Linked DNA regions of Elephas maximus indicus. The protein of the gene in region 2 interacts with the protein of the main gene of each other region in a pairwise test. Links are inferred from orthologs where the notes say so. Each region holds a gene or a part of one and is shown on either strand. Other genes may lie near its edges.

Region 1 (8,285 bases), on a different chromosome or scaffold from region 2:
TACATCATCTCTTTGAATCATAAGAACAACCTTGGGAGGTAGGCTCCATTGTTAAGCCTTTTTAACAGATGAGGAAACTGAGGCTCAGAGAGGTAGCGTCACTTTTCCAGGGCCATGCAGCGAAGAAGCAGTAGAGCTGGGGTTGGAACCAGTGTGTTGACTCTGGGACTCTCATTCCTATGCCCCCCACGCCCTGATGTATTCATTAGGGACAGGCAGCCAGCAGGGGTATATAGTAGAAAACAACAACAACAGCAGCAGCAGTGGTAACAACAATAACAACAACCAAGTGCTCTACTGGGTTCTTTATGGGATCGTCTCTGACCCACAGACAGGTAATAGTGAGCCTCATTTACAGAGAGAGAAACTGAGACCCAGAGAGTGGCAGTCAATTGTCCCAAGTACCATAGCAGGTAAGTGTTGGGACCGCAACTCAAGTTCAGGTCTGGCTCCAAGCCCTTTTGTCCCATCTCATCAGCTGTTGATGCTGTGGCTGGCCAACCTAATGTTGCTGCCATTGCTGCTGATGGTGCTGGAGTGGCAATGGTTATGGATTATTGAGCATGACCAGTATCATGGGCACTGGGCTCAGGGCTCCCCATGAAAGGGAGGAGGGGCACTGGGCCCAAGGCTGTCGCATGACCAGCTCCTGAGCATCCTGGGTCAGGGAAGGCCTGTGGGAAGACTGACTCAGTGCCCTCCTCACTGGGGCTAGAATCCATCTCAGTGTCTAGAGATGGGCTGGCCTAAGAGGTAGGGTCTTAAGAAGGGAAGTAATTGTCCTAAGATGAGAATGTTGGTTTTTAAAGAAGCAAAAACCCTTGGGCTTGATTATCTCAGAGGCTCCTTCCAGCTCTGGACTTTTTATCTAAGGACTACACTCTGTTTGTCCAAAGGGACACTGTGGCCTCTTCTTTTCATGGGAACAGGAAGATGAGTGGAGAGGAAACCCTAAGCCCTTTCTCTCTGTGTATCAGTCAGGTTACACTGCCTTAACAAATAGCCCCAGGTCTGGGTGATTGAGAACAACAAAGGTGGATTTTTTATTCATGTCACCTGTCTAATGCTAGTCAGAAGGGGGCACTTCGCCCAGGCCAACAGAGTTTCCACCATCTTATAACACAGCCATCTCAAGGCACGGGACAAGAAGAGAGCACTGGAAAGTCAATAAAAAATTTTGACCTGGAAATTATACCTGTTGCGTCTGCTCAGAATCCATTGGCCAGGACAAATCACACGACCCCACCTAATTTGAAGAAGGCTCGGTGACACTTGCTCACTAATACACCCTGTATTGGCTGCTTTTGCTTCCCTGTCTCACTTCCCCTCTCCCTACTGATGCTTCCCGGGATCAGTAAACTATCTGCACTTGAACTCTTGTGTGAAGGAAGGCCTCTTGCTGGTAGAATTTAAACTAAGACCCTCTCATTCTTTTCTTACTCATGAATTAAGTTGATCAGGCAACAAATCTTTTCTGAAAACCTACTACGCATTGGATACAGAGACCACAGATCCTGTCCCAGCTCAGTAAGCTCTTTGTCTCAGTGATGAGTGACCTGCTCCAGTCACCCCAAAAAGTGAAGTGCTGCCTGTACACCAAGGTTCGTTGCAGCACTTTTCAGAATAGACAAAATGTATAAACAACCAAAATGTCCATCAACCAACGAATGGATAAACAGAATGTGGTCTAATCACACAATGGAATACTACTTAGCCATAAAGAGAAATGAGTCCTGATGCAGGCCACAACATGGGTGAACCTTGAAAACATCAGACTGAGTGAAATAAGTCAGCCGCAAAAGGACAAAATTGTATGATCTCACTTATATGAAATAAATATATAGAAACCAAAGATTACTAGTGATTGCCAGGGATAGGAGGGAGGGGGGAAGGACAGAGTTACTGCTTAGGGCGCATTGAGTTTATGTTAATGGTGGTGGAATGATTTGGAAAAGGATAGAGAGGACGGTTGCACACCAAAAGGATAGTGAGAAAGGTTGACATGCACCGATGTCACTGAATTGTACATGTAGAAATTGTTGAGATGGCATATGTTTTCTTATGCATATTTTCACCACAGTAAAAAAAAAAAAAAAGGTGAAGTACTTTGAGATCTTAAGAAGGTGTCAGCTGAAGCCCCACCAAGGCAGGGACCCTATCTATATCCCTCACCACTCACCCCCAGCTGATACAGCGTCAGTCTTCAAGACGTATTTGCTGGGTGTAGAAATAAACGAATGAATGAGTATAGAGACATCCAAGTTGCTGACAATCTTCAGCCTGGCATTTTCTTTAATGAGAGGATGAATAAGAAAGCAATGTAATAGGCTTTGACAATATTGAAGTCCATGTAGATGTCATGGTAATGATTAAGGTAAGAGCTACAATTACTTAGTGCCCAAAAAAAAAATTTTTTTTTTTTCTATGGGTTAGAAACTCTCCTGCGGGGTTCACACAAGTTGACTCATTTCACAAAGGGTGTAATTATGAACTGGGTTCAATTCCTGACCAATGCACCTCATGTGTAGCCACCACCCATACCTCAGTGGAGTCTTGTGTGTGGCTCTGATGCTGAACAGGTTTCAGTTGCACTTCCAGACTAAGATGGACTAGGAAGAAAGGCCTGGTGACCTCCAAAAATTAGCCCATGAAAACCCTATGGATCACAATGGGTCTGATCTATAACTCAGCACGGGGTGGTGCAGGGCCAGGCAGCATTTCGCTCCATTGTGCATGAGTTGGGGGCTGACTCGACCGCAGCAAACAACAACAACATAAATTATGAGTGCTATATTATCTGTGAATTAAAATATTTAGATCCTTATAAGTGGGAAGTGAGGTCCCTAGGTAATGCAAACAGTTAACATGTTCAGCTGCTAACTGAAAGGTTGGCGTCTAAGCCCACCCACAGGCACCTCTCTGCTACAGAAAGAAAGGGCACAGCTAGTGGGGTGGTGATTGTGTGTATGTGTGTGTCTGCATATGTGTGTACATATAAGTGTCCCTGTATGAGTTATATGTGTCTATGTGTGTTTTGGGGGGACGGGAGGCGGGGGAACAAGTATCCTTAGATTCAGTTTCCAGGCCCCAGTGCTGTCCCCGCCCTCCTGCCTGATCTTGAATTCAGTCAAGACATACATCAGGCACCTGGAGGAATGTAACTGAAGTCCTGCACCCCTGTCCCATCACTTGCCTCACTTCAGCCACATGAACCTGTTTCCAATCCGCCCCCCCCCAAAAAAAACCCAGTTGCTGTTAAGTCGATTCTGACTCAAGGCTACCCCATGTGTGTCAGAGTAAAACTGCCCCATAGGGTTTTCAATGGCTGATTTTTCAGAAGTAGATTGCCAGGCCTTTCTTCTGAGGCACCTCTGGGTGAACTCAAACCACCAACCTTTTAGTTAGCAGCCAAGCATTTGCACTTTAAACCCACCATGCAATCTCCTTGCACATGGGCCCCTTCTTCTGCTTGGAACTAGCTCCCCACTCTCCTCCCCAGGCCGCTGTTTCTCCATCTTTCAGGGACTCCTCCTCCCAGGAGCTTCCCTTGAAGGCCTGGCTGGGTTAAGTCCCCTTCTTGATCTTATCGCCCATAACAGAGCCTGGCACCAAGTAGATGCCTGGTAAATAGTTGTTGGAGAGATGGAGGGATGGAGGGATGGATACCACTAACCATCAAATCAACTCCGACTCATGGCGACCCCATGTGTGTGTCAAAGTGGAACTGTGTTCCACAGGGTTTTCAACACCTGATTTGTTGGAAGTAGATGCTCAGGCCTTCCTTGCGAGGTGCCTCTGAGTGGACCGAAATCACCAGCCTTACAATTAGTAGGCAAGTGTGTGAACCCTGTGCACCACCCAGGGCTCCTGGATGAATGCCTGCCCTGCCAAGCACCCTCCTTTGCTTATTCCTCCCCAGGATCACGGAGATTTGTCTGCATCCGCTATGCCCCAGGGCCTGACTGACCAGGCCCATGAACCCAGTATGCCCCTGGTCCTGGCAGCTGGATGGCTGATGCATGCAAAGTGGGTATCCTCCGGTCCAGCCGCCTGACCACCCTGGCGAGGCCGAATCTGACAGCTAATGACATTATTGTGTGGAGACACAATGTTTGTGGGCATTTGCTGAGCCAGGCTTTGGTGTGGGCTTAATCCAGCATTCTCACTCTGCTTTCCGCGGCTACGCAGCAATCACCCATCTTGGCGCTGGCACTTCTGGGGAAGGTATAAAGGCCACCTCCTGCTGGCCAGGCCTCAGGAGCACTCGCGGGGGCTGGTGTCACTGGTAAGAATGCCTCTCTTGCTTGCCTTGCCTTTTTCTGTCATTCTCATCCCTGATACATCGCATAGGAGACCTGGTTTCCAATCCAGATGTTGCCACTTTCTGACAAGGTGACTTTGGGCAGAGACTTCAATGCTTTAAGCCTCAGTCTTCTTTTCTGTTAAATGGGGAGAGAGATCATAAAACCTCCCTTGTGGAGGGGATTAGAGATAAGGTAGGTGAACAGTCCAGTACAGTGCCTGGCATATAGTGGGAGTGTTCTTTATTATTATTAAACATACCATTTTTGTTGTTGTTATTTGCTGTTGAATTGACTCCGACTCATGGCCAACCCACGTACAGCAGAACGAAGCATCGCCTGGTTCTGAGCCATCTTCGCGATTATCGGTGTGCTTGAATCCATTGTTGCAGCCACTGTGTATTCTGAGTGCATTCCAATCTAGGAGGCTCATCTTCCAGCACCATATCAGACAATGTTCTGTTGTGATCCGTATGGTTTTCACTGGCTAATTTTTGGAAGTAGATCACCAGGCCTTTCTTCCTAGTCTGTCTTAATCCGGAAGCTCCGCTGAAACCTGTTCACCATGGGTGACCCTGCTGATATTTGAAATACAGGCAGCCTAGCTTCCAGCATCACAGCAGCACACTAGCCACCACAGTACGACAAACTGACAGACAGGTGGAGGAGCCAGTCCATCAGCATCCTTGTTTTACTGCAGAATCTAACTTGGAGGGTTTGCAAGTAGAAGGAATTGAGCCAGTGTAGTTCAGCGTCACATCTAGGGCGGTGCATCGGCTCTTTGCATACCAGCAAACATTACCGCCCGCTCGGTGCCCAATCTCGGCAAAGTACCACGGGAGAGGAAACTGCTGTAGTGCTGAAAGATCTCCCAGCAACAAGTGACTCAAAACACTGGTGCCTGGTAGAAATAACCCTGATAGTCTCACAATTGCTGTCATTTCCTGGGAGCCCAGCGTGTGCAGAGCTTTCTGCCAGGTGCCGGAAGTATCACGCTTTATATAACCGAATTCTCACCGCCTGCCCACAGATATTTCGGGCACTCTATTACTGTCCCCATTTTAAAGACAAGAAAGTGAGGCACAAAAAGAGGATGTGACTCACCCAGGGCCTCAGGGCTGGTAAGCCACAGTGTCAGCTCCCGAGCTGGACCGAGCGGGCTTCATCTTTAGTCTCAGGATGCCGATGGCTGCGGGGTGGGGTGGTGGAGACTCAGGTGCCTTGGCAGCCCCAGAGGGCGGGCTCGTTGCGGAGGAAGAGCAGGTTTGGCTCACAGCTGCTTAACTGAATTATGTCCTTTTGGGGATGTCCAGCCTTGGCCTCTAATGTGGAAGGAGGTTCTGGAAGCTGGATGTTGTCTCTGGAGAAGGAAGTCAGGTCGCCTGTCTTGCCCCTCGGGAAATGAGGCCTGTCCTGGCTGCCACCCCATGGAAGTGAGAAGAGCCTGACAATTTTCCAGATTTTTCTGATGTCCTTAAAAACCAAAAACCAAGCTCGTTGTCCCTGAGCTGATTTTGACTCAAGGTGGCCCCATGTGTTACTGAGTAGAATCATAGGGTTTTCTTGGCTGTAATCTTTATGGAGGCAGATCACCAGGCCTTTTTTCTGAGAAGCCACTAAGTGCAGACTGTTCGCGCCACCCAGGGACCCTGATGTTTTCACCAGCCAAGAAATTCTCTCCCCTGCTGCCTATGACAGTGCCTGAACTTCCTCCACTACGCCTTTGCTTTCTTGTAACGTAGAATTCCACAGCAGCTGCGCTCCCTGATGGGGCCCAGTAAGGCCGATGATAGAGAGGAGAATTCTGGGTACCGGGAACGGGGAGAGGAGTCTAGGGAAGAAGCTTGGGGCAGGGGTGGGCGCAGGGGGTGCAGGGGACTCTGCGAGGTCTCAAACTGGAAGCCATAAGACAGACATGGCCACGGCATGGCTTTGGTTTGCTTCACGCCATTTGCCTTCAATCAAGAAAATCCACATCAAGGCAGAAATTCTGGTATCGCTGTTCTGTGTTCTGTATGGTGTCTATTGGTTGGAGCTGGATGATGGGAACCCACTTGGGACCCTGCGTAGGCTCTGGTTTATCACCACGTCCCTGGCATAGACCTCAATTTTTTCCTCTTTTTCCTGGAGCTGACCTGGATATAAAGAAGTGAAGTTAATGGTGAATGTTCAGGCAGTTGCTTGCAGACCCCAAGGTTCTAGGACAAACTGAGACCAGGGGGAACAAGACAGGGCTTGGGGCTCAGTGGAGTGGCCTTGAGTCATCCCTCACCACCAGCAGGGTGAGAAAGCCCAGGTTCAGCGTCCACCGCTCCATGAGGGCAGGGTCTAACTGCTGGTCTCCATGCCTTCCAGGTCATTTCTGCACGGGGAAGTCCACCATGGCCTCAGACCACCAGACTCAAGTGGGCAAGCAGCAGCCCCTCAACCCCAAGGTGGGTACCTCACAGGGTGAGCCAGCAGTGAACCTCCCCCAGACTCAGTATCCTCTTCTGTAAAAAGGGCTGGTGTCTTCCCTCCCAGGGTTCCCCCTTCCCACCCCTGCCCCCTCTCTGGGCCTCAGTCTCCCCACCTCTGAAGGCCCCTCCCCTGTCATAGCTGGACCACCTAGATTCCCATCACCAGCTTCCGGCATCAGAGCCTGAAGTTTCTCTGCCTTGTCTCCTGAACCCCATTACCCATGGGGGCTCCCCAGTTGCAGTCTGAGTTGGAGCTGGTGAGTGGGGGTAGGGTGGACTATATATCCGACTCCACACCTGCAAGACTGTGAGACCTGGACCAGATCCTTGACCTTGACCTTCATGAAATGGGGAGAGTGGTGGGACTTCTGCCATAGGATGATGGTGACTTGGCAAAGAAACCGGGCTCCCCTTGACACCTGACGCATTGTGAGTGTGCACCCAACGCCAGCTCGTTGGTCTGCTTTGCTGTCTCATCCAATGTCAGGTCTCAATGGGATCTAATCTCGGTGTCAGAGGCTCATCACACCCAATCTGCCCCCAAACCGCCACCACCTACCACCCACCTGGCTGCTCTCCCGTGCCTCTCTGCCCACTTCAGGAGCCCAGGGCATGAATTCCATCCCAGAACTCTCTGTTTGTCCAGCTTGGGGCCTGCTGGCCGGGGAAGCTGAGCCGAGGTAGCCCCTCACTCTCTTCACCCTTATTCCATCCCTCATGGGGCTGACTTTCTAGAGGACAGACTATAAGCCAATAAACAAATATGTGATTTCAAGTAATGAGAACTGCTAGCAAGAAATATAAAGTAGATTTAAGGGGGTTGTAAGAGTCAGGTGGACAAGGGATGGTAGTCAGGAAGGGCCTCTCTGAGGAGGTGACATTTGAGCAGAGACCTGGGACCAGTGAGGAGACAGCTGTGTGCAAATTGGGGTGGGGGTGGGAGAGGGCACCAAGGCAGAGGGAACCGCAAGTGCAAAGGCCCTGGGGTGGGAACCAGGGGGGTGAGTGTGAGGGACAACAAGTTCAGTGTCGTGTGGCTTAGAGCCGCGCTGCCCAGCAGAAGTATAATGTGAGCCACATGTGTAAATTAAAATGTTCTAGTAACCACATTAAAAAAAAGTGAAAAGAAACAGGTGAAATCAGTTTTCATATTGTATCTCATTAAACCCAATATATGCAAAATAAGAGCATTTTAGCATACAAGCAATACAAAAATTATTAGGGAGATTTTAATTACTTTTTTCAAGCTAAACCTTAAAAATCTGATGTGTATTTTACACTTACGTTGTTGTTGTTAGGTGCCTTTGAGTCAGCTCTGACTCATAGCAACCTTATGTATAACAGAACGAAACATTGCCAGCTTCTGTGCCATCCTCACAATCATTGCTATGTTTGAGCCCATTGTTGCAGCCACTGTGTCAGTCCATCTTGTTGAGGGTCTGCATCGTTTTCATACATCTTAATTGGAATCAGTTTCATACACTTAATAGCCCTATGTAGCTAAGGGCTGCCATATCAGACAATG
Region 2 (8,328 bases):
CACTACTTAATCACGCCCCCATCCCTGGTATAGAACCAAAGACCCTCCACTTACCCCTCAACCCAATAAGCCAAAGTTAGACTCATTTCACACTCACCAGCAGCTAGGACGCAGTGGAGCAAATTCTTCTGTAGAAGATATGGGCTCTAGGAGAATTTATGAAACGTGTAAGGTTTGTCTTCAGAGCTCTCGCCCCCATCTTTACTCTCTTTCCCAGATGCCTAGGTGTTTATGTGCCCCTTATAGATATTTGGGAGGAGCCCTAGTGGCACAGTGGTTAAGCACTCGGCCGCTAACTGAAAGGTCAAGGTTCACAGCCCCCCTCCCCCCCGCAGGAGAAAGATGTGGCAGTCCTCTTCCGCAAAGATTTACAGCCTCAGAAACCTTATGGGGCAGTTCTACTCTGTCCTGTGGGTTTGCTGAGAATCGAATTGGCCCGCCAACAGGTTTACGGATATTCAGGAACCACCACCCAGCCTGCACTCCAGAGTACCCTGAACTCTTTAACTCCTCCCCATCTTCTTTCTTTACGAAAAACAGGAATAATAAGAGTGACAACCTTATAGGATTGGGGTGACGATTAAATAAAATAATGTATATAAAGCTCTAGTCCACTACCTGGCACTGTTTCATTCCACTGTGCATGGGATTCCCATGAGTCGTGCCGGCTCCATGGCAGCTAACAACAACGTCGTTATAATTCTTATTATTCTAGTGTCTCTGCTAACTCTCAGATGATAAAGCATTTTATGTTACTTTTTTTTAGTTTTGTGCCTAGATCATGGCACTAGACTATTATCTCATGGCCGGCTTCTCCCTGTAATCCACTCAGTATTCTGCCATTAACTGTATTCTTTTTGTCCTATTACACTCCCCACTCCCTCCCCACAAAGCCATTACTGATTTCCTGTTACCTACAGAGTAAAGTTCAAACTTCTTAGCCTGGCACTCAAAACCATAAACAATCTGATCCCTTTCCAGCCATATCCTTTGTAATCTAAAGGAAAGCCCCTAAAATATCGTAGATGACCAAAAACTCTAAAGGTACTAACAGTGTATTGTGTAGCCAGGAAATCTATGTACTTTAAGCAGCATTAATAGAAATCTAGAGTGTTAAACACAGGGATTTTTTTCTTCCACTGAACTCTATACCATTCCATGACTGGAAATAATACTTTCAGGTCTAGATGCTGAATTTCAAATTACATTACGAAAAGGCAATGTGTTCAAGAGTATGGGAATTGCTATATGATACAGTTAAAGAACTAGTTATGTTTAGCTGGGAAAACGTAAGCCTTAGGAGGAGAGGATGGTTATTTTTAAATACCTGAAGGATTTTCAAGTGAAAGAAGAACCGCATTTATTTTCTGGACATAACCAGAATCAACAGGCAGAAGTTACTGAAATGAGGATTTTGGTTCAATAGAAGGAAGAACTTGTAACAGATACATCAAAAAAAAAAAAAAAAAAAAAAAATGGAGTGTGTTACTAGATGAAGTTTTAAGTTCTCTGTCACTCAAAATGTCCCAGCAACAGTTGGCTCATAATGTGAGAAGAATATGGTGACGAATTGGACTAAATCAGAGGTTTTCATATTTTTTCTAGCTAAGCAATCTTTTCTATAAAGCTCGTGTCAAAACCCCAATTACAAAACAGATCAAAGCTGTTCTGGTTGAAGTCTGAGTAGGATGGATCCCTTTTTAAAAATTCTTTTTTCAACTAGACAGTAAGATTCCTGATAGTAGAGAATAACATACATATTTTTTATATTTACAGTGTATAACCTTTAGGATGTATTATCTGGGGCTTGATAAATATTTGTTGAATGAATGAAAAAGCAAAAATATAGTTATTTTTCTGAGGCATGCTTACGTTTTTAATAGAAGGCAACCTTTAACCAAAAATTGAATTCCTCAAGTGAGGGTCCTTACCCCAGTGGTCCATGAATCGCTAAGAGGGATGAGAAAGCCAAATTTGGGGGCATGTACATTTTCTGGGAAGAGGGTTTATGGCTTTTATCAGATTTTCAAAGGGGTCTCTAACCCAAAAAGGTTAAGAACCACCACTTGAAAGGAAGAATTTGAGGTATTTTTTTACCATAGATGTGTTTTGGGGCAGGGAGGTCTTCTGCACACCCCCTAAATCTTACGCATGCATGCTCTCTTGACTGCAAAGCATGACTGAGGGGTCATGACCTTAGGCTTTCCTAAATACACCATGCCCCTAGTCTTAGGACTATACTTAGTACTAGACGTCCAAGGCAAGCTTCCCTGGCAGTCACCACCACTGTATTTTTTTTTTTTTCTGTCTTATTACACTAATAGTCCTGTTGCCATTGAGTTGATTCTGACTCATAGCGACCCTATAGCCCTAGATCCCCTGCATTGGGTCTTGGGTTGACTGGCTGAGGTGATGTGATAGTTCCTGTCTTTCTTTGGATGTTCCAAGATTAGAGACAAATGCTTTCCTTCTTGGGCCTCCTCTGTGCGGAGCATGAGAAATCTTTGTGGTGTGGTGATAATGGTAGGGATTCCTGTGTCTGTGTCCCTGTCTATGCATATTTAGTCTCTCGGAATCAGAGACCATTTCCTGTGAACAGACCTCAGCATGAGAAAATGAAGTATTTTGTTTTAGGCAACTCTCTCCAGCCAGTTTTCCCAACCCCTACCCAAAAAGGGCCAGACAGTCTGGAGACTCTTGTTTTTGTGTCTCTAATCACCAGCTCAGACAGTGTCCTCTGGACTGTTTGGATGGCATATCCCTTTCCCCTCCCAGGATCACTCTCTCTTTTGTTGCATTGTGAGAAAATTATGGCTAGGAATTTGATCTGGAGCCAATGCCAGCTTCCGGGCGTGATCTCAGCATCCAAGTGTGACGATGGCACATCTAACTGAGGTGCTTTATGTCTAGCCAGCTATGACCTCCTCCCTCCCTGCTCATCCCTTCCTCTAGGCCACAGAATAGGGAGCAGCACAAACAAAGCCCTGAGATTTGGGTTTATTCAACTCTACCCAGAACTAAGCCAAAGGCTATGACACGTCCCAAGGGACCAAACAATATATTGTGGACCATGCATTTTTCCCTTCCCCCAAGGATGCTGCTACCTCTGGGATGGTGGGCAGCTGCTAGCATCACGCCTTGGGAAGTAAAAAGGGATTTGCTGGGTGCTGGGTCTGTGGCAGTCAGGGCTCAACTCCGGCCACCTCCTCCTCTTCATCTGGATCAGGAGGTGCCGGGAGCAAGGAGATGTAGACCTCATTGACCTCTGTGTCCAAATGTCGCCCACCCCGAGGGGCCTCCAAGTTAAGGATGCCATCATGGGAGAGAGCAGCACGGACCCGCCAGGGGTCGACATCAGCAGGCAGGACATAGGTGCGGCAGAACTCCCGGGACACGAAGCCATGGCGGTCCAGGCGCTGGGGGTGCCGGGCAGACACCTCCAGCAAGTTGTCCACAGTCCTCACGGTCACCTCATCTGGGGTAAAATGGCTTACGTCCAGAAATGCCTGGAACTTGCCCTCACTGAGCCTAAGCTCTGAGGCCCCTGCCCTGCTGCCCTCCCCAGCTTGGGCAGCCCGCGGCCGGACATAGTAGCCATGGTAGAGGGTAGGGGTCAGGATCTCTTCTGGCAGGAGGCCTGAGGGGCAGAGAGAGAGAAAGAGAAGGAAAGAAGCAGGATGAGGAAGGTGAGGTGGGAACAGGGATGTTTTGAGAATTGATCAAGAGATGAGGACGGATTGGGACCACAGGAGGGATTCAGGAGAAGCAGGGAGGGGAAGAGAAAGGGACAAGGTGACTGGGAAGAGAAGGAGGCAGCTGGGGAGACAGAACTGAGAAAGGAAATGAGATGGGGTGAGGGAGGGTAAACCAAACTGGGGCAGGGTGGATAGATGGGGAACAAGCAGGCACACCAAGTGGGGCAAGGGGCAGGGATCTGAGTATCGTGGCACCTAGTCTGTCCTGAGGGCAGTAAGAAAGAGAAAGAGCCCTCTTACTTGGAGGTGGGGGAAAGCAGCCTGGGGTGGGAGATGGCTCGCCCCAGGAGTTCAGTTAAGCCTGAAGTGGGGTGGAGGCCAGTAATGTTGGGAGGTCAGCCCAGAATTTCAGGAGGTGGGGGTGGGAGGCTGGGGGTGGCGTGTGTGCCATACCTTCTCCGAAGCGCTGTTCACCCAGGCGACTCGGGTTGGCAAATTCGTACTCGGTGGTGGCGGGGTGGGCATGCGGCACCGAGCGGCCAGACATGGCTGTAGACGCGTAGGCGGCCCTGTTCCGAGCTGCAGCCCCAACAGGCGCAGCGCGACCCCTCCTGCTGCCCGAAGAGCAGCTCGGTCGGAGGTGGGGGCGGGGTCTACACCACCCAAAATAGTGCCGAGCCTCTGGAGGGAGGGCGGGAGCGGGGGCCTGAGTGCGGGCGAAGAGTGTGAAGCCAGCGCCGTCCGGACCCCCGACCCCTCCCCCCCTTCAGCTGTCGCAGGGTGCTTGAGATGACAGCTGGGGGTCCTGGCTCGGGAGAGGGCTAGGGGAAGGGAGGCTGGCGCCGGAGCTAAGGAGAGGCACGGCTGAGACCCTCACGAACAGTTTGCACATTTTCCACACCACCCTTTCTCCTCCTCAGTCGCAGGCACAGTGTGTCGTACTTCATAAAGCACTCCTGGATGTAAAGTTCTGTTGAGCCTGGCAGAGTGAAAGATGAAAGAAACTTTTCTACCCTCTCTGTGGGCTTAATGGGGGTGGTGTGGGGTGGGGAGAGGGTTTTCCTGCCCAGATTAGTCAGGGTCCTCTCCCGAACCCAGGTCAACCCAGGGAAACCCACGCAGACGCCTGGCACTGACATGATCACTGCTTCAGGGACCCACAAGAGTTAATGTTCCTGGGGCACAGCCTCCGAAGATTCCAGTCCCTGCACAGGCCCAAGATAGTTGCTGGCCCGATTCCCCTGGCATGCAAGACCGGAGAGGAGGGGGAGGGGCACAACACCCGCCTGCCTGGGATTCCTGACTCTGTCCCAGTCCCCAAGAACAGAAGTGGGGGGGTGGGGGGCTGCCATGGGATGTAGATGAGAAAGCCAGTGAAACAAGACCAGGACAAGTTACTGGCCAGCTCAGACGTGTTTGTGTTTCTCTTTTCTTAGCTCAGTGAGTACTGGGTATGTGTCACACTGCCAAATCCCCGATCACAAGTCTCCATGAACGGGCGGTGAGCTGGGATAATAAAACCCCTGACATCACCATTCCAGAAGCTTCACAAGACTGCATATATAAGGGGCTGGCTGTAGCTGCGGCTGAAGGAGCTGACCAGCCAGCTGACCCCCCACACTCACCTAGCCATCATGGACATCGCCATCCACCATCCCTGGATCCGCCGCCCCTTCTTTCCTTTCCACTCCCCTAGCCGCCTCTTTGACCAGTTCTTTGGAGAGCACCTGTTGGAGTCTGATCTCTTCCCAACTGCTACTTCCCTGAGTCCCTTCTATCTTCGACCACCCTCTTTTCTGCGGGCACCCAGCTGGTTTGACACTGGGCTCTCAGAGGTGAGTCTCCTCTCTGCCAGAACGGGAGAGCTCTTCCTGGAACTTTTCTTCTCTTTCTTTTTTCCTTTCTTTCCCTGACTAAACCTGATTATGCTCAAGTCTCATAAGTGTTTCAGTTAGATGTGTGTCCAGACATGAAGAAAGATAAGGTCCCTAGCACCCACCTCTCCCAGTCACCTGTTTCTATTTGAAGCTTCTCTGCATCCTATTTATTACGTTTCTCCGTGCACTATGAAGATCATCCTCTGTCTGCTAACTTCCAAGCAGGATGCCCCTTCTCTAATTCGGTTCATAAAGATCTGCAGTAGAAAAGCTGCCTCCAGACTTCTTTGCTCACCTCTTATGATGTATCATACTCCTGACAGATTTTATCATCTCAAGTTTCAGAGCCAGGAGACAGTCCTCCCTCAGCTTGAGCTTTCATCCCTGTTGGGTGGAACCGGAGACAACAACCATTATTTTCTTCCTTTCTATTCCCTCTTCTGTGATTTTCCGCATTTCTTATAGTTGTAACTGGGCACTGCCTGTATCTAAGCCTTATGAGGAAGGAATGTAGGTCTGGTCTTGGGACCCCCTCACTTGTCCTAAAAGAGTGGGAGGAGTACGGGGTGAACAGATATGGTTGGCAGAAGCTGTCACAGATAACACTCTGGTTTAAAAATATTCAAGTATGAGTAAACAGTAGCTGAGTGAGCAAGGGCGTTGGAAGGACAAACAGGACCAGCAGAATATTCCAGATTGAGTGGGTGGGAAACTTGGCAGAGACCCGAGCAAGAAGAAAGGGGCCTTTGTCTTACAGACAAATGACAAGAGCAGGCATTGGGGTTAAGCAGCAGCAGAAGCCATGCCAGGCCCGTCCTTGTGATTTGTTAAGTCCCCCTGGGTGGCCTGTCTTTCATCCCTGTCCCTGTAAATAAAGTTTGGGCTTGATAACCAAGTGTTATGCTTTGGGTACCACTGTGGTGGCTACCCCAGAGAGCCATACTTATTCAAAAAGAGATTTTTGGCTAAAAAAGAAGAAGATAAACTACCTGGACAGAAAACAACTCTACAGAATGAGATTAACACCAAGATAATTAACATTCCTGGCATCTTTTCTTCTATCCCTTCTTCCTGTGCCCCATTCTGCTATTTCTAGATGCGCCTGGAGAAGGACAGGTTCTCTGTCAACCTGGATGTGAAGCATTTCTCTCCAGAGGATCTCAAGGTCAAGGTGCTGGGAGATGTGATTGAGGTGCATGGCAAACATGAAGAACGCCAGGTATGTAGCTTGTGTTTAGTTCCACCCATTCATTCAGTGCCTGCTCTATGCCAGGCAGTGCCATCAGCCTCTGAGGCTGGCAACATCCCAGTCCCAAGCCGTAAGGGCCTACATCAGGGTCACACATCGGTAGCTAGGAGACTAAATGAGTGACAAACCTGTTTTGTTTCAGGTTTTTTGTTTTTGGGGGGCAGAGAAGTGGCCTGTGTTGTTTGTTTTGATATGATTGCCTTAGAGGGGATGTATGGAATGTTCACTCTTCATTGAAGCCCGTGGTTCTCCGCCTTAGCCAATTAGAATCAGGGGAGTTTTAAAAAATCCCAATGCTCAGGTGCACTCCAGTCTAATTAAATCAGAATATTTAGGGGTGGGACCCACGTGTAAGTAGTTTTTAAAGCTGACTAGGTAAATCCAGTGTTGAGTCTAGGCTGGGAACCCCTGATTTAGGCATAGCGCTTGTCAGACACCTGGTTGCTTCACATAATGACATTGACTGCATCCACCCTAAAGGCATTTGAGTTTGTGACTCCTTTAGATGTTCAGGAATCTACTGCTTAAACCCATCTTATTGCTGAACTACTTGGTTTGTCTACTTTTCAGAACTGTACTTAGCTCCTAATACCCTAGAACCCACTGGTAATCAGTTCACTGAAAGTCTACCTGAATAAATGCTTGAGATTTAGCAAGTATAAGGGTTAGGGCTAAGTACTCTTTGGGGATTCTGAAGAATGGAACAGCTTCTTGTTACTCCTTGGGAGAATTTTTAAATGAACATGCTTCTCACCAATTAGTGAGAACTTAGAACTTTGTACATCAAACAGAACCGTTTGACACCCTCAAGCTGATTCAGCTTTGCTCACTCGATTTAAGTTTGGGTCACAGTCTCCCTGGATGGAGTAACTGTTCTTTAGCAGCAGTCTTTTTGGTCTGGAACATTCCTGGAGTAAGGACAATTTCTGGGCTTCCTCAGGGACTGGCCTGCTGAAATGAGATTCATATCCTATAGGCCCAGCCAACATTGATCTAAATCTTTAGGAAATATACCTAAACATATCCATGCCTCAGGGTCTAGGGAACTATGAAGTTCTGGGGGTGTTTCAGACTTCTCAGACTCTTATTGGTAGCAGTGACCACTAAGTGACTTTGTCTTAGCACCAAACTGAAATGAACAGCTATTTAGCTTTTTCTCATCATGCTGCCATGGCATTTGGTTCTACCTAAAGGGAGTAAGGAGCTCTGGTAGTGTAGTGGTTAAGAGCCTGGCTGCTAACCAAAATGTCAGCAGTTCAAATCCACCAGCTACTCCTTGGAAACCCTATGGGATTTCCTACAGGGTTGCTATAAGTCGGAATCAACTCAATGGCAACAGGTTTTTTTTTAAGGGGAGCGGGGCTGTCTGAGGTTTTGGCGAGAAGTATTATTTCCTGCTCTTATCTCTCTGCTTCTTTCCTCGTTCCCTTGGATTAGGATGAACATGGTTTCATCTCCCGGGAGTTCCATAGGAAATACCGGATCCCAGCTGATGTGGACCCTCTTG
Region 3 (7,203 bases), on a different chromosome or scaffold from region 2:
TACTGAAATGTTTGCATTTTCCATTTTTCTCTTTTAGAATCTATTAAAACATTTAGCTTGTGTTTCTGGCACTAATAGAGTCCTGTCTTTCTTGCAATCTGTTGAGCATTCAAAAGCAATAATGGCATTTGGTCAAACACAAGAACATGTGTTTTCAAGGTGAAAAGTAACTTCTTATGAAGAATATTATTTCCAGTACTCTTTTAATGTCTAAACTCTGGAGGCTGAAAGAAAAGTTCCATTCAATTGGGCTAAATTCATTTGTAGTTAGTCCTTTACGGACATATTTGTAGTTCCAATGATGAATTAGTGCTTATTGAAACACCTCAAATTGTCCCTCCAGTTTATCACGACCAGATATCTTCCCTATATCGTCCAACTCTTACCTAATGAGAAAAGTTGTTCTTGGCATTAGCACTTTTACCTTACCTCCATAAATAAATACACAAACAGGTATATTCTCACTTACTCCACTCTGTATCCTTCTAAAAGCCACCGCCCTTTTTCTCTCAATTCTATTACCGATACCCCATTCCTCCATGAGATTTCTGGTCCAAATATAGATTCACTGTCTTTCTGCTATATATATGCTTGAAGAAGAATTTCAGGATATTCACCAAAACTACATGCACGTGGGGAAACTCAGCCTCACATCATTTTAATAGGAAGTAAGGTATTATCACTCTACAAAGAGAATATACTAAGTGGAAAATAAAGAACTGAAGTTTTCCAGATTGTATGTTCTTTATATTTATTTTTGAAAATTAAAGTAGCTACTAACAAATTACAATATCATAAAGAAAAATAGGCAAGTGAGGACATTGGGTCAGAGAAAAAACTAGAATAGGAGAGATGAGATGAAGTCAGGAATAAAGTTTGAGAGAGAGCATAGCCCTGCCTATGTCCTGAATACAGACTTCTAGCCGCCAAAACTGTGAGAAAATAAACTTCTGTTGTTTAAAGCCACTACTTTGTGGAATTTTGTTATGGCAGCACTAGGAATCTAAGACACTGGATTTCTTTAATTAACTCTTTCTTCTTGAAAACTAGTTGCCTCCACTTCTGAGGTACAAGAAAATGGAGTCTTTAATGCCTACAAAAAGAGAAAATCAATAGTGGGGAGGGGCCTGGGGAAGAGATTATGCCCAAACTAATTTCTAATTCTACTCCTCACTTCTTCTCTGCCTCCTCTCTGCAAAATGAACACTGGGACCTCAAAGAAACAAGAGGGTCTGAAGTGCAAGCACCACCTAGTCCTGGAATGGGAGGATGGATGTCCTACAGGATCCTAGTAACCTCTTCAGTTGATGCTGGAAAGGGTTAAGGATTTAGGGTATACTTTGATTGGGTAAATGTAAGAAAGGCAGGGGTTCACGCTAGAATAGGTGTTGTCAGGAAACGGGGGTAATTTTATGATTGAGTATCTCAGTAAATCTTACCTATATGAAAGTGAGGCTAGAACAAAGACATAGTTGTAATTGATTAACAAGTAGCAGTTAATCAGTCTGGCCAAGAGAGGAGTGTTTGGTATTTTGTGGGTAGCATATTGACTTTGTTTTTGTCTGTGCTTAAACAAAATTATGAAGTCACCATATTTTGTCTCGTTTCATCATGTGGTTGTTGTTAGGTGCCGTTGAGTCGGTTCTGACTCATAGCAACCCTAAGTACAACAGAACAAAACCTTGCCTGGTCCTGCGCCATTCTCACAATCATCACTATGTCTGAGCCCATTGTCGTAGTCACTGTGTCAATCTACTGCATCAAGGTCTTCCTCTTTTTCACTGATCCTTTACTTCACCTTGAACACTAAGGTGTGCCAGACCCAAGACATAGTGTTTTCAATCACCTCAAATGCATGCAAATGCTGGATTATGAATAAGAAAGACCAAAGAAGAATTGATGGCTTTGAATTGTGATGTTGACGAAGAATACTGAATGTAATACTGACTGCCAAAAGAATGAACAAATCAGTCTTGGAAGAAGTACAACCGGAATGCTCCTTAGAAGCAAGGTTGGGGAGACTACGTCTCATATACTTTGGACATGTTATCAGGAGGGATCAGTCCCTGGAAAAGGACATCATGCTTGGTAAAGTAGAGGGTCAGCGAAACAGAGGTCAAGATGAATTGACAAAGTGGCTGCAACAATGAGTTCGAGCATAACAATTGTGAGGATGGTGCAGGACCCAGAAGTGTTTCATCCTTTTGCACATAGGGTTACTATGAGTCAGAACCAACTCGACGGTACCTAACAACAATAACAACTACTTTGTCAAGTGTGATGTCCTTCTTCAGGGACTGGTCTCTCCTGATAACATGTCCAAAGTATGTGAGACAAAGTTTCGCCTTCCTCGATTCTAAGGAGCACTTCTTCCAAGACAGATTTGTTCATCCTTCTGGTGCTAGTCCATGGTACATTCAATATTCTTCGTAACACCATAATTCAAAGGAATCAATTCTTCTTCAGTCTTCCTTATTGGCTGTCCAGCTTTTGCATACATATGAGCAATTGAAAATATCATGGCTTGGGTCAGGTGCCCCCATAGTCCTCACAATGATATCTTTGCATTTCTACACTCTACGGTCTTTTGCACCTGATTTGTCCATTGCAATTTGTCTTTTGATTTGACTGCTGCTCCTATGGGAGTTGGTTGTGCACTGTTTACTGTGGATCCAAGTAAAATGAAATCCTTGACAACTTCAGGATTTTGTGTTTTTCATGATGTTGCTTATCAGTTCATTGTGAGGATTTTTGTTTTCTTTATGTTGAGGTATAATCCATCCTGAAGGCTGTAGTCTTCATTATGGTCTCAGAGAAACTTGGTCCGATGTTGGTATTTTGTGAGATTGTTTATGTCTGATTAGGAGCCTGGTGGCCACAGTGGTTAAGAGCTATGTCTGCTAACCAAAAGGTTGGCAGTCCAAATCCACCAGCTGCTCTTTGGAAACCCTATGGGCAGTTCTACTATCCTACTGGGTAGCTATGACTCAGAATTAACTCGAAGGCAACAGGTTTTGTTTTGTTTTGTTTTTTTGTTTGTTTTGTTTTCTCTTTTAATTAGGAGAATAAATGGCCTGTGAATGCTAGTCCAGCTTCCAAATGTAATAGGCTTATTTTTTCTTCTTCTTCTCCTTCTTTCTTTCTTTCTCATTCATTACACTGTTTCCCAAGAGATAAGTATCATGAAATAATTGAAGCTCTGAGAGGTTATATGGCTTGCCAAGTTCATGCAGCTGCTAAATAGATGTCCTGAGTCCAGGCAACTCTTGAAGCTCTACTGCCTCTCCCATCTCTGGGAAGAGGGAAACAACCTACAAAGCAATCCACTACTCAGGAGCCCTGGTAGCACAGTGGTTAAGTGCTCAGCTGCTAACTGAAATGTAGGTGGTTCAAACCCAGCATCCACTCCATGGGAGAAAAACGTGGCGCTCTATTCCATAAAGAGCTATCGCCTTGGAAACCCTATGGGACAGTTCTACCCTGTCCTGTAGAGTCAGTATGACTTGGAATCAACTCAGCAGCAGTGGATTAATGGGTGTTTCTTATCACGAGTTTATCACTAGGAACTGATTTCCAGTTAATTGAAATGCAACCACCAAGGGGGAAGTTAATAGCTATGAAAGCATGGAGTCAAGGTGGTGAGGCCTAGCAAAGATCAGAACCTAGGTTTCTCCTGCACTGGAATGGCAAACCACATAAAGAAAGAAATTTGAAGATAAAGTGGTCTCTACCAACAAGGAAAATTAATGCTTGCCTCATTCTATTTCACAAGCTGCCTCTCTGAAATTCTGGAGCATTTCTGTAATGGCATAGATTTTCTTCAGAAAGCACATGGAGAATAATTGAATCATGTATGTAAAGACATGAATTTCAGGTCAAAAGTTCAGTCTGTCCTGATAAATTTAGAGAACACTAAGAATTCAAATAAAAGCGGCTTTAAAGACTCATCAGAACAGACCATACAGGACAGCATTAGAATGTACTAGAGAACGAGGGCAAAATCAACGGTTATTTCCACCGAATGCAGCATGTAAAAGGGATCCCTAAAATCCCCTTACTCACCAGGCGGGCTCCCTTTTGTGTTGTTCTTGCCGATGCAGCAGCCGTCCTGCTATATAGACCTGCTGCTGCTGCCACCCAGTTACGCTGAACTCGCATCATCCCTGTCAACCAGCCATGGGAAAGGTGAGCAGAACACAAGTTAGACAGAAAGGGGGCAAAAAAAAAACAGCTTCTATACAAGGTCTATGGAGCCCTGTTGGCGCAGTGCTTAAGCACTCGTTGCTATCTGAAAAAATCAGCATTTGGAACTCCAGTTTCTCCACAGGAGAAAGATGTGGCAGTCAGCTTCCATAAAGACTTACAGCCTTGGAAACCCTATGGGGCCACTTTACTCTGTCCTCTAGGGTCGCTGTGAGTTAGAATCGACTGGACAACAATTTTTTTTTTTTTTTAAATACAAGGCCTAAGTAGCCCTGGAGGCCCAATGGTTAAGAGTTTGGCTACTAACTAAAAGGTCAGCAGTTCAAACTCACCCAGCAGCACCTTGGGAGAAAGACCTGGCAATCTGCTCCCTTAAAACTTACAGCCTAGGAATCTCTAGGGGCAGTTCTGTTCTGTCCTATAGGGTCGCTATAGGTCAAAATTGAATCTACGGCATACAACAAGAGTTGTTGGCAATTGCTGACTTCCGTTGTCTTTCACTGTGTGCAAAAAGTTCTATTGGAAGCAGGTGATAATTTGGAATTATCTTTTCTTTGCAGATCACCTTCTATGAGGACCGGGGCTTCCAGGGTCGCTACTATGAGTGCAGTAGCGACTGTCCCAACCTGCAGACCTTCTTCAGCTGCTGCAACTCCATCCGGGTGGACAGTGGTTGCTGGATGCTCTACGAGCTCCCCAACTACCAGGGACACCAGTACTTCCTGCACCGGGGCGAGTACCCCGACTACCAGCAGTGGATGGGCCTCAGCAACTTGGTCCTTTCCTGCTGTCTGATCCCCTTTGTGAGTTCTTCTTGGTTTCACTCTTGGGGCCTGAGTATCCTCACTGTATTAATGACTGCAGTTAGAGTCAGGGGAGGTTGTCCTTTAAAAACAATGAGGGTCAAGAGGGCTTAGATACGTGCTGAAGCACAGATAGGCACATGTACAAAAACAGTAGAGAACCTAGGGAAGAATTCACTTAGAGGAAGAGCCAGTTTTATTTTTAATTTTTGCTACCATTAGGTAAATCAAAAGCTGTCCATAACAAATGTAACATTATAATAGTATATGAAATAAAACTTGCAAATGGGAAGTTTGTTGGGCAAAAAAAGGCAGTATTTCTAACAAATTTTTTCTATAGTAAAGGAATCTATAATAAATGAATGAGATAGGCTCCACTGTGGACTGGAAAGAATCAAAAACTCTGTTTTTAATATACCGGTTGCTGTTGAGTCAATTCCGACTCAGAGGGTTGTTAATATAATCTACTCAAAGGTAGTATCCAGCTTTGGGATTTTCCTTAATTTGGAACTTGAGTTCAATTCTGATTCCAAATGACTATTTAAACCAATTTTCTACAAATGTATGTGATTTTTAAAATCCTCTTTTAGTAACCAATCTATACATAGATACAAATGTGGTATGTTTGTTTATTTTTAGGGAGATAGCACTCTTATTAAAAAATATTAATCAAATAAATGATTCACATTTCCCCCAAAAGAGAGGTCTGAGACAGCACAGGGAATTAGGAATCAAGATATTTGAGTTTGATGGATTTTAACTCAGAGTTCAAACCTCTTAAAAATCCCATCTCCTAAACAGTTAAGCCAAAGGACTAATGGACCACACTAGAACCACAGCCTCCACTAGCCTGAGACCGGAAGAGCTAGAGGTGCCTGTCTACCACTACCAAAGGCTCTGATTGGGATCACAATAGAGGGTCCCGGACAGAGCCAGAGAAAAACATAGAACAAAATTCAAATTCATAAACAATACCAGATTTGCTGGTCAGATTGAGATTGATGGAACCCCTAGACTATGGCCTTTAGACACTCTTCAAGCCTGGAACAGAGCACACTCCAGAAGATCACCTTTCAGCCAAACAGTAAGCAGTCCTAAAAAGTGAACACTAACACCCGTGAGAAATGTGCTCCTCAAAACAACCAACGATATGAGACCAAGAGGGCAGAATAAAACGTGCAAAAAAAAAAAAAAAAAAAAATCCATCTCCTAGATAAGAAACAGAATACAACTATGCAATTATTTGAGCCTTAGTGGCACAGTGGTTAAGAATTCAGGCTGCCAACCTGAATTGGCAGTTCAGATACACCAGCCACTCCTTGGAAACCCTATTGGGCAGTTCTACTTCATCCTATAGGGTCACTATGAGTCAAAATCGGCTCGACAGCAACGGGTTTGGTTTTTGGTTTTTTTGGTAAGAAACAGACACATCACTGAATTGTACATGTAGAAATTGTTGAACTGGTGTATGTTCTGCTGTGAATATTCTCAGCAACAATAAAAAGTAAAATAAATTATAAAAAGAAGAAACATTGCCACACACAGCATTCACAGGGATCTCAGGATCTCCATGTTCACATTGACAATCCCATGCCCCAGCCTGCCAAATTCATCTGTGGTTTGGTTGGATGAATTCTGGAAGAGGTTCATTTTCTTCTCCGCTTTTTCTTTGTGGACCCAACAGACAGCCTCCCACAGGATGCGGCTGTATGAGAGAGATGACCACAAAGGCCTCATGATGGAGCTGATCGAGGACTGCTCCTGCCTCCAGGACCGCTTCCAATTCAGTGAGGTTCGCTCCCTCCATGTGCTGGAGGGCTGCTGGGTCCTCTATGAGATGCCCAACTACTGCGGGCGACAGTACCTACTGAGGCCGAGAGAGTATAGGCAGTATCAGGACTGGGGAGCTATGGATGCTAAGGCAGGCTCTTTGCAGAGGGTTGTGGATTTATACTAAAATAGGTTAACGCTACCATTTTCTTAGTTTGGAATCTAATAAAATATTTAGTCTGTATTGTTGGCAATTGTCAACTTCTGTTTTTCTTCTGTTGTGTGCAAATTCACTCACCTACAACTACCCCCATTAAAGATTGAAGAGTGAATGGGGGTGGTGGCTGTTCAAGAAGCAGAGTGAGTCTTGGCAAGGTTCAGAACTGGGGTTGGGGGACCATATAGCCTATCTGAGAAAGAAAAAAGT
Region 4 (7,329 bases), on a different chromosome or scaffold from region 2:
AATGTTTTCATCACATTATCTCATTTCATCTTCACATCAGCCCACACACATTCTTGCCTTTCAAATTTCTTATGTACTCAAATGAGTTTTACTGAAAAATTGGCTAGAAACTCCCCTTCTCCCACTCACTTTTTTTTTTTTTTTTTTAAACCCCAAGCCTTTGACTAATATCCTTTAAGAAGCTCTCAGATCGGATTGCCAGGGTGGGGAATTTGTTTCTTCTGCCTACCCTGCCCACTGGATAGACACCAGGATTCCTGGTCTTTACTGCAGGAACCAACACTTTTGTATTCAGTTTATAGTTTAGCCATTAAAACAAACAGACAAAACCACAGAGGTTACGGTAAATGTACTATTGTGGGGAAAACATAGACTTCGGAGCCAGTAAGCCCCAGAGTCAGATTTTGGTTCAGCAATTTAAGAACCATGTGGCCATGGCCAAGTTGCTTAACTTCTCAGAGCCTCTATTTCTTCGTTTGTAAAATGGGGGCAATAATACCTATGTCTTTAGGTTGTTGTGAGAAATAAATAGATACAAGTATACTTCAACAAATGTTGCCCTTTCCCTTGCCTATCTTTCTTCCCTAAGGTCAAACAGCTACTTCACTGAGGTTCCTTATTGCTAACCAAGAAGTCCTCCACTACTAACTTAAAGGTTCGCAATTTGAGCCCACCCAGAGACACCTCAGAAGAAAGGCCTGGTGATTTGTTTCTGAAAGGTCACAACCACAAAAACCCTATGGAGCACAGTTCTGCTCTGTGCACATGGAATCGCCATGAATTCAAATCGCCTCAAGGGCAACTTTTTTTTAAAATACTAACCAAAGTACCAGCTTCATGGCAACCCAGGCAAATTAAATGTAATACTTTTTTTTTTTTTAACAAGCAAAAGGAGAGGTAGAATGTTGGGAATATGTTGCTAAATGAATTTAGATGTAGACTTTTTTTACTAGATGAATAATTAGACACATATCCCTTGTACCGTGGCATGCTTGTGACCATGGTTAACTCTAACAGGACCTTAAGTTCATTATCTCTTTTTAAAAAGTTATTTTAGGTGGGAGAGAGAAGGAGCTTGAAAATTGGACATACCTAATGTTGGAAAGGAAGACAGTGGTTTTGGGAATGTTGGAAAGGAAGACAACTCTAATTACACTATTAAATTCCAGGATTTTTATCAAAGCAGGATCATAAATCAGCCCCTTAATTCCTGGGGACAAAGGTGAGAGAAGGGGGGGAGTGCAGAAGGCTCTGACTGGGTGTTTACTGCTCTGCACATAGTAGGTGGTCAATAAAAGCTGGTGATAGATTGAGGCTGTTTAGAGAGTCCAGGTCTAGTTTGACCTTTGCTGCTAACTTCTTGGCAAATGTGGTGCAAGACATCGTGTTGGAGGGAAAAGAACATTTGACTAGGCACTGAAGGCCTGTGTTCAAGTTCCATCTACACCACTTAACAGTCTGGCAGCCCTGGATGTGACACTTAATCTCTTAAGAGTCTTCTCACCTGTGAAATGAGGAGACTGAACTAGGTGATTTAGAAGGTCCTTTTCAGCTCTTGAGGTTCTGGGACTCTAAGTAACTTCATTCGCTTATGTTTACATTTCATTTACAGGGATAGAAACCTGTCTTACAGGGCATTGGTAAGAAACGGTCAGTCTGCATGTTGAAATGCCCTGCATCTCTAGAGAAAGGAAGAAAACGCAGTGGCCCAAAGCAGTGTAGCAGAGTGGAACATTCTGCTACAGAGCGGACTGGTGAGTCTGTCTCCAAGCTCTCGAGTTCCAGCCACTTAGTAGCTTTGTGATATATGTCAAGTTCCCTGATGTGTTTCAGTCTCAGTTTGCATATCTTTAAACTGGGGACTGTAAGTTGTGAAAATGCTTTGAAAATCTGCAATACACTATATAAACAAAGTATTATTGAGAAATGGCATGCAAATAATTTACTTGTTACAGTTTTATCTAAGTTTTGTACCATGTTTCCTAGTATTTTCAAATGAATGGTTGTATCACCTTAGTCCCAGAGGAGAGATTCACTTTCCACTCCAATTTACGGACAGAGGTGATGTTAAGTCACAACGGGCATTACTAAAAAGCCTACCAAAGCTACCGCCCAGTCAGCCTCGCAGCTTTTGAGGGCCTCAAACCTGGGTCTCCCAAGTGGAAGGTGAGACTTCTATCACTGAACCACCACTACTCTCCACCATAGACATCAAGTAGTTACCCCAATGTTCCACAGTCTAGGGATTTTTTTTTCCAGAGACCAGACACCAGCTGGTGGAAGCTTTAATTCTCCAAAAGATAGCATCTTGCCGCTTCGGGTGTGTATGTCAGGAGTAGGGAGGCTATGGAGTTAGTTTTCTGAGAGTTTTGAAAGTTCCAATATTCCAAGGCAATAATAACAAACGTGTAAAGTGTTGGAATGCAGAACCTGAGATGGCCTTTCATCCTCCCACCTGCCAGGGATTGCTACTCTGGGGAGAAATGGCCTTGCTCACCCAGGGCCTTCTTAGCTCGAAGTTCAAAGTAAGATCCCAGCCTGTAAACCGGATCTCCCAGCCTCAGCTTCCTCTTTGGCTACATGCATGGCAACATGCCATACCCAGTTGGTGACTGAAAAGTCTCCCCATTCTATGCAGAGGGCACAAACAGCCCCCACTGTTAGCTGTGACCCCACACCCAGGGCATCTCCCATCAGCTCCTACGAATAAAGCATTGCCCTCTGCCAGGCCACCACCACCACCAGAGGAGCAGAATGGAGTTGGGGCTATGCAGCAGAAATCAACTTCTGGTTTATCTTGTGGGGGCTGGGGAGACGATCTGGAATTTGTCTATAGAAGGAGCTTAGGGGTGCTGATCTGTTTGGAATGGGCAGCTAGGGGGCTTGTCTTGGAGCTGCATTTCATAAGGTGCACACTGTTTTTTAAGATGTATATGTGCATGGTTAAAAATAGCAAAGTTGTTTCAAATTTAATTATTCTTACAAATTCTTATAGATCATTTTTATTTGGGTTGATTTGGGGATGAAAGTTATGAGTTTTAAGGGTCAGCCCCCTCATGGCCCTGCCACTGTTAACCCTCACCATTAATCTCATCAACTTTTTATGATTTCCACTTTTTAAGCACACATATCCATTGATTCAATACATCCATTGCCTTTCTTCCAAAGAACTGACTGACTTTAGAGCAGGTTAATTTTGTTTAGTTTTTGATAGTCCCCTCCTTCCCCCATCCACTACACACACACGTCAGAGTTATAAAGTCATTTTACAGGAGAAATTGAAGGAGAGGCGTGAAGCGACGCGCTCCAGCCACAGAGGGGCAGCGCTGGGTACCGAGTCAGGCTTCCTTCCAGGCTCTGGCGGCTCGCAGCCTAATTGCCCGGACAGACTTACGGAGCTAAAATTCCTGGGCAGTGTGGGGGTTCAGCTGAATTGCCAGCTCTTTGTTTCTTCTGTCATAGGTCGACTCCTTGGGACGGATCTGAGAACCAAGGCTGGTGGCGTGTGCTCGCGCGCTGCCGACCCGCACCCCCTCACGCCTCTGCCAGCCCTGTGTGCACGTATGTGTCCAGTGAAAAAACCCTAGTACGACACTACATCCTTTCTCCCACAAATAAAGCCCTCCAAGGATGATCTCATGGCTGCAGACTAGCCCCTCGCAAGCCAACTCGACTCCCGCGGGCGCTCGGTTCTCCAGCTCCGCGTCTCCCCCTTCTCACCGCTTATTTTTCAGCCGTGCTCTCGCTTCTGCGCAGCTTGCTCTAGGTGATGGTTCCAGGGAGAGGCCTAGTTTGGGGAAGGAGTGCTGAAGAGGAGTCCCGAGGTTTGGGCTGAGTAGCGGGGTACCGAGGAGAACGCTGACGCCAGGGAGCCAGGTCACGTCCTAGCGGGTCCCAGCTTCCTCCCCACGCCCACCTCCTCAGCCCGGGAGTCCCCGGGGGCGTGCGCAGGGAGGGGGTGTGCAGACGCGGGCGTGTCTGTGAGCTGGAAGCGGCTTTGACATTGAACACTAGCTCCGGTGTGTGCGTGTGTGTGCGTGCGTGTGTACACGCGCGTATCTGCGTGTGTGAGAGTCGTGGGGAGGGGGCCGGGCTAGAAGCTGCAGCAAACCACAGCCCTTCTGGGTGCAGCGCAGAGCGCGCTCCCGAACCGCCACCCGCACGGGCTGTGAGCTCTGAAGCCATTCATGATTTTGGTGACGTTATTCCAGAAGTGGGCGAGGGAAGGCGGGGCTTCCAGGGGCCAAGCCCCGCCTCCACCACTATAAATACTGCTTCGCCGGCTCTTTGTGGGGCCGGGAGCTCGGTGGAGAGTTGTGTTCTGTGTCTGCTCTGCAGACGCCGCTGGCTGTGGGGTTGTCGCGTGAAGGCGGACTGGCGAACGTCCAGTGCCCGCACTCGGCCGCCTGCCTACCTCCCTGTCTGCCGTGCGTCTTTCTGCGCCCGTGTCATCCTTGCTTGGGACGCGGTGACCGTTTTTAAATCACAAAGGCGTGGGTCAGCCTCCCCTAGGACTTCATGTCTGTATATTTCCCCATTCACTGGTGAGTATCCTGCGCCCTTGGTGGATGTCCGTCTCGCGGCCGTGGGTGCCTGTCCCGGCGGGCGCCTACTCGAGCCGGCTCAGGGTGCGAGCGAAGCCGGCGGCGCCGACGCCCAACGCTAACCCGCAGCCCGAGCTGGTGCAGGAGTCAATGTCAAGGTTGCAACGGTGGGGGTGGGGGAAGTGGTGCTAAGAACATCCAGACAAAGGAAGTGAACTTGGAGCCCTCACCCGAGTGACGGCCGGAGGATGTGAATGTGGGGTGGGAGGGTGGATGGAGAACCAGAGGTCACGCCGGAAGCCCCGCCGTTAAGTCCCCTAATGCGGAGGGCTGCCAGAGGCGCGCGCCCTGCCTGCTTTGGGGGCCCTTGCTCTCCCCCGGCCCCTCCCCTTTTTCTTTTTGTTTGCAAGCAAGTCTCGACGTCCAGGCCGGTGGAGCTGGTGCAGCAGCGCCGTTTGCAGAGCTTCAGGGGGTGGGGAAAGAAGCGATCTCACACATAAAGCCACTAGCGGCAGGGTACACGCTGCCCTCTTTCGACCCCTTCCCTCTCCATAGTCCTAAAAAAAAAAAAAAAATCGAGTCGTCTTTGCAGGGGGCCTAAAGAGAAGTCGCCCTCGCAGTGCCGGGCTGGAAGGAGCCTGGGCCGGGCGGGGGGCGGCGGAGGCTTGTATCCCGCCTGGGGATCCGGACCGAGAGCGATGCGCCGCGGGCGCGGCTCTAGACGCGGAGCAAGGCCCCCGCGCCGGGGAAAAGAAGGAGCGGCCCGGGGCGAGCGCTGGCAGCCCCGGAGCGCGCTTCCAGGTGAGGGGGTGGACAACCCAGCCCCGGCGGGAGAGGCAGGCGCCGAGCGAGAGGCAAGCATCCGCGCGATCTTGCTCAGGCCCGCAACCGGGAAGTTCACTGTTTCTCACCTCAGCTCTTCGGGTCCGCACCACAGCCCGAAGCGAGGAGACAGCGCCCTTACACCAGGCGAGGAGCCTGGCGAGCGCCCCGTGGTGGCTCCTCTGGCCCATTTCTTTGGGAGCCGAAGGTAGATTTTGCATGACTCGGGAAGAAACTCCCGTTCCCGCCACCCCTGTGGTGTGTGAGAGGCCAGATGACCTGTGGGTGAGGTTTTGAAGACTGCTGGAGGTGTCTATGCCCCTGGCCACTCAAAGTCGGCCAAGGGTAGACAGATGCCCATCAGTGTATTATCCCCTGAGAAATTGAGGGTTAGGATTATTTTATAGCTGATTAATACTTCCTAGTTGTAACTTCCCCCCCCCCCCAGGTATTAACTATTATACATAATGGTGAGGTAAGCATCATCAGCATCATAGTAACAGAGGAACAGGACACCTGTGGCTCAGAGAGGTTCTATGACTTGTTCAAGATAACACAGTCGTTAGTGGCAGAGCCTAGACTAGAACACATTGCTTGTTTCCAGTCCAGTGACATTTCTACTCTATGTAGTAACAAAATGAAGAGGAGTCTGGTGCACCTGTTTCCCTCTAAAGCCTGGTCCTCATTTTTTTTTTTTTAATTCATGTGTAAAGGTATGATGGTGGAAATACTAGGTGTTGTGTAGAGGGTCCGTGGACTTTGGTGTGTACTATTTGGTATTATGCGTACAGGACCCTGTGTGGGCTCATGGCTTGTGTAAGGATGTGGGAGGATAATGGAACGTTTGTATCCTGCTTATAGAATACAAAGCACTTTCACATGTCAGCCATTGGTGGACCAGCTTGGCCCCTCTGGAAATTTCCTTTGCAATCGGAGCCCTGGTATCCCTAAGGGTTTTAATCCAGGGGATGTTTCTCAAGCTGTGAGTTTGCAGCTGCTGTAGCTGGAGCTGGAGAATGGGGTTGGATGGCACATGTGAAGCCTGCAGAGGTGACCCTTTGGGTTTAAGTGGGACATTTTTGCAAAGAAGAGCACCAGAGAAATAGGGAAAAATGTAGGAGGACAGCGTGATTGGACTTGATTCCCTGAGGTTGACCTGTTACTGTTATTATATAATAATAATATGTGTGTTATTATTTGATAATAATATGCAGTTCGTCTTTGGACAAAATTCATGTGAGGATAATTTTTTTTTTTTTATCTTTTATCCAGGAGGGATACAGGGAGACTTGGTTGAATTGGTTTCAATTTAGACAGATGGATTCAGCTACTTACTTTTTTTTTTTTCTAGTTCTGTCATTTATAAAGAAAATCCGGAGTTGCTTCTGTGCTTCTAGAAACAGAAGCAGTGGGTTCTAATCTGATGGATAAATAGGAGAGGAGAGGAGCAGAGGTTTGCTAGAGAGATTTTCAGACAATGGCCTTTGTTGGTTGAGGTTGAAAACCCGGACCTGTGGGCTTATGAGGCACTTTTTCAGGTTATGAGCTTGTTTTTCTGTGAGTTCTGTTTTGAACACTTCTCATCCTGTCTCCAGACAGTCCCCTGATCTAACAACAACGGATGTACTGAGAGTGGGAACGTGAAATTGCGTGTCTTTGTTGACATTTGGTCTGGGTTTCTTGGCAGCCCTGACTATCTGAGATCTGCTGAAATGACTGAGGTGATGATGAACACCCCATCCATGGAGGAGATTGGACTCAACCCCCGAAAGGGTGGCCTTTCCTATCAGGTGAGTTATGTTCTGAGTCCCCTCTGGCTCTTTAGAGGAGGTAGCTTTTGCTTGGGCTGGAGGCAGCAAAAATCCCATGCCACTTGTAAGAACTTTGTGACCTCAGGAAAGTCCCCTAATGCCAGTAAGCCTCAGTTTCCTCCTCTCTAAAATGAGGACAACAATAGTGTGTA

What was found.
Region 1: the proteins of CRYAB (region 2) and CRYBB2 interact in a two-hybrid assay, tested with the Homo sapiens proteins (2 studies listed by BioGRID and IntAct). The link is inferred for Elephas maximus indicus from reciprocal best matches to the Homo sapiens genes CRYAB and CRYBB2.
Region 3: the proteins of CRYAB (region 2) and gamma-crystallin C interact in binary tests that used the Homo sapiens proteins (3 or more experiments, as listed by UniProt). The link is inferred for Elephas maximus indicus from reciprocal best matches to the Homo sapiens genes CRYAB and CRYGC.
Region 4: the proteins of CRYAB (region 2) and LBH interact in a two-hybrid assay, tested with the Homo sapiens proteins (2 studies listed by BioGRID, with this or other methods). The link is inferred for Elephas maximus indicus from reciprocal best matches to the Homo sapiens genes CRYAB and LBH.

The regions. Positions count from the first base shown.
Region 1 is NC_064840.1:31,512,646-31,520,930, reverse strand, and holds the start of CRYBB2 (beta-crystallin B2), read left to right. Parts: upstream 1-5,258; 5' UTR 5,259-5,279; intron 5,280-5,332; exon of another isoform or gene 5,333-5,422; intron 5,423-6,656; 5' UTR 6,657-6,682; coding exon 6,683-6,736; intron 6,737-8,285. UniProt on the Homo sapiens protein: Crystallins are the dominant structural components of the vertebrate eye lens.
Region 2 is NC_064825.1:6,983,072-6,991,399, forward strand, and holds the start of CRYAB (alpha-crystallin B chain), read left to right. Parts: upstream 1-5,185; 5' UTR 5,186-5,329; coding exon 5,330-5,530; intron 5,531-6,668; coding exon 6,669-6,791; intron 6,792-8,258; coding exon 8,259-8,328. Other genes in the region: C7H11orf52 (uncharacterized protein C11orf52 homolog), read right to left, coding at 98-146, 3,105-3,132; HSPB2 (heat shock protein beta-2), read right to left, coding at 3,183-3,637, 4,149-4,242. UniProt on the Homo sapiens protein: May contribute to the transparency and refractive index of the lens. Has chaperone-like activity, preventing aggregation of various proteins under a wide range of stress conditions.
Region 3 is NC_064824.1:106,974,286-106,981,488, reverse strand, and holds gamma-crystallin C, read left to right. Parts: upstream 1-4,176; coding exon 4,177-4,185; intron 4,186-4,763; coding exon 4,764-5,006; intron 5,007-6,690; coding exon 6,691-6,963; downstream 6,964-7,203. Other genes in the region: gamma-crystallin B, read left to right, coding at 1-6. UniProt on the Homo sapiens protein: Crystallins are the dominant structural components of the vertebrate eye lens.
Region 4 is NC_064830.1:49,963,238-49,970,566, forward strand, and holds the start of LBH (protein LBH), read left to right. Parts: upstream 1-4,302; 5' UTR 4,303-4,518; coding exon 4,519-4,544; intron 4,545-7,053; coding exon 7,054-7,156; intron 7,157-7,329. UniProt on the Homo sapiens protein: Transcriptional activator which may act in mitogen-activated protein kinase signaling pathway.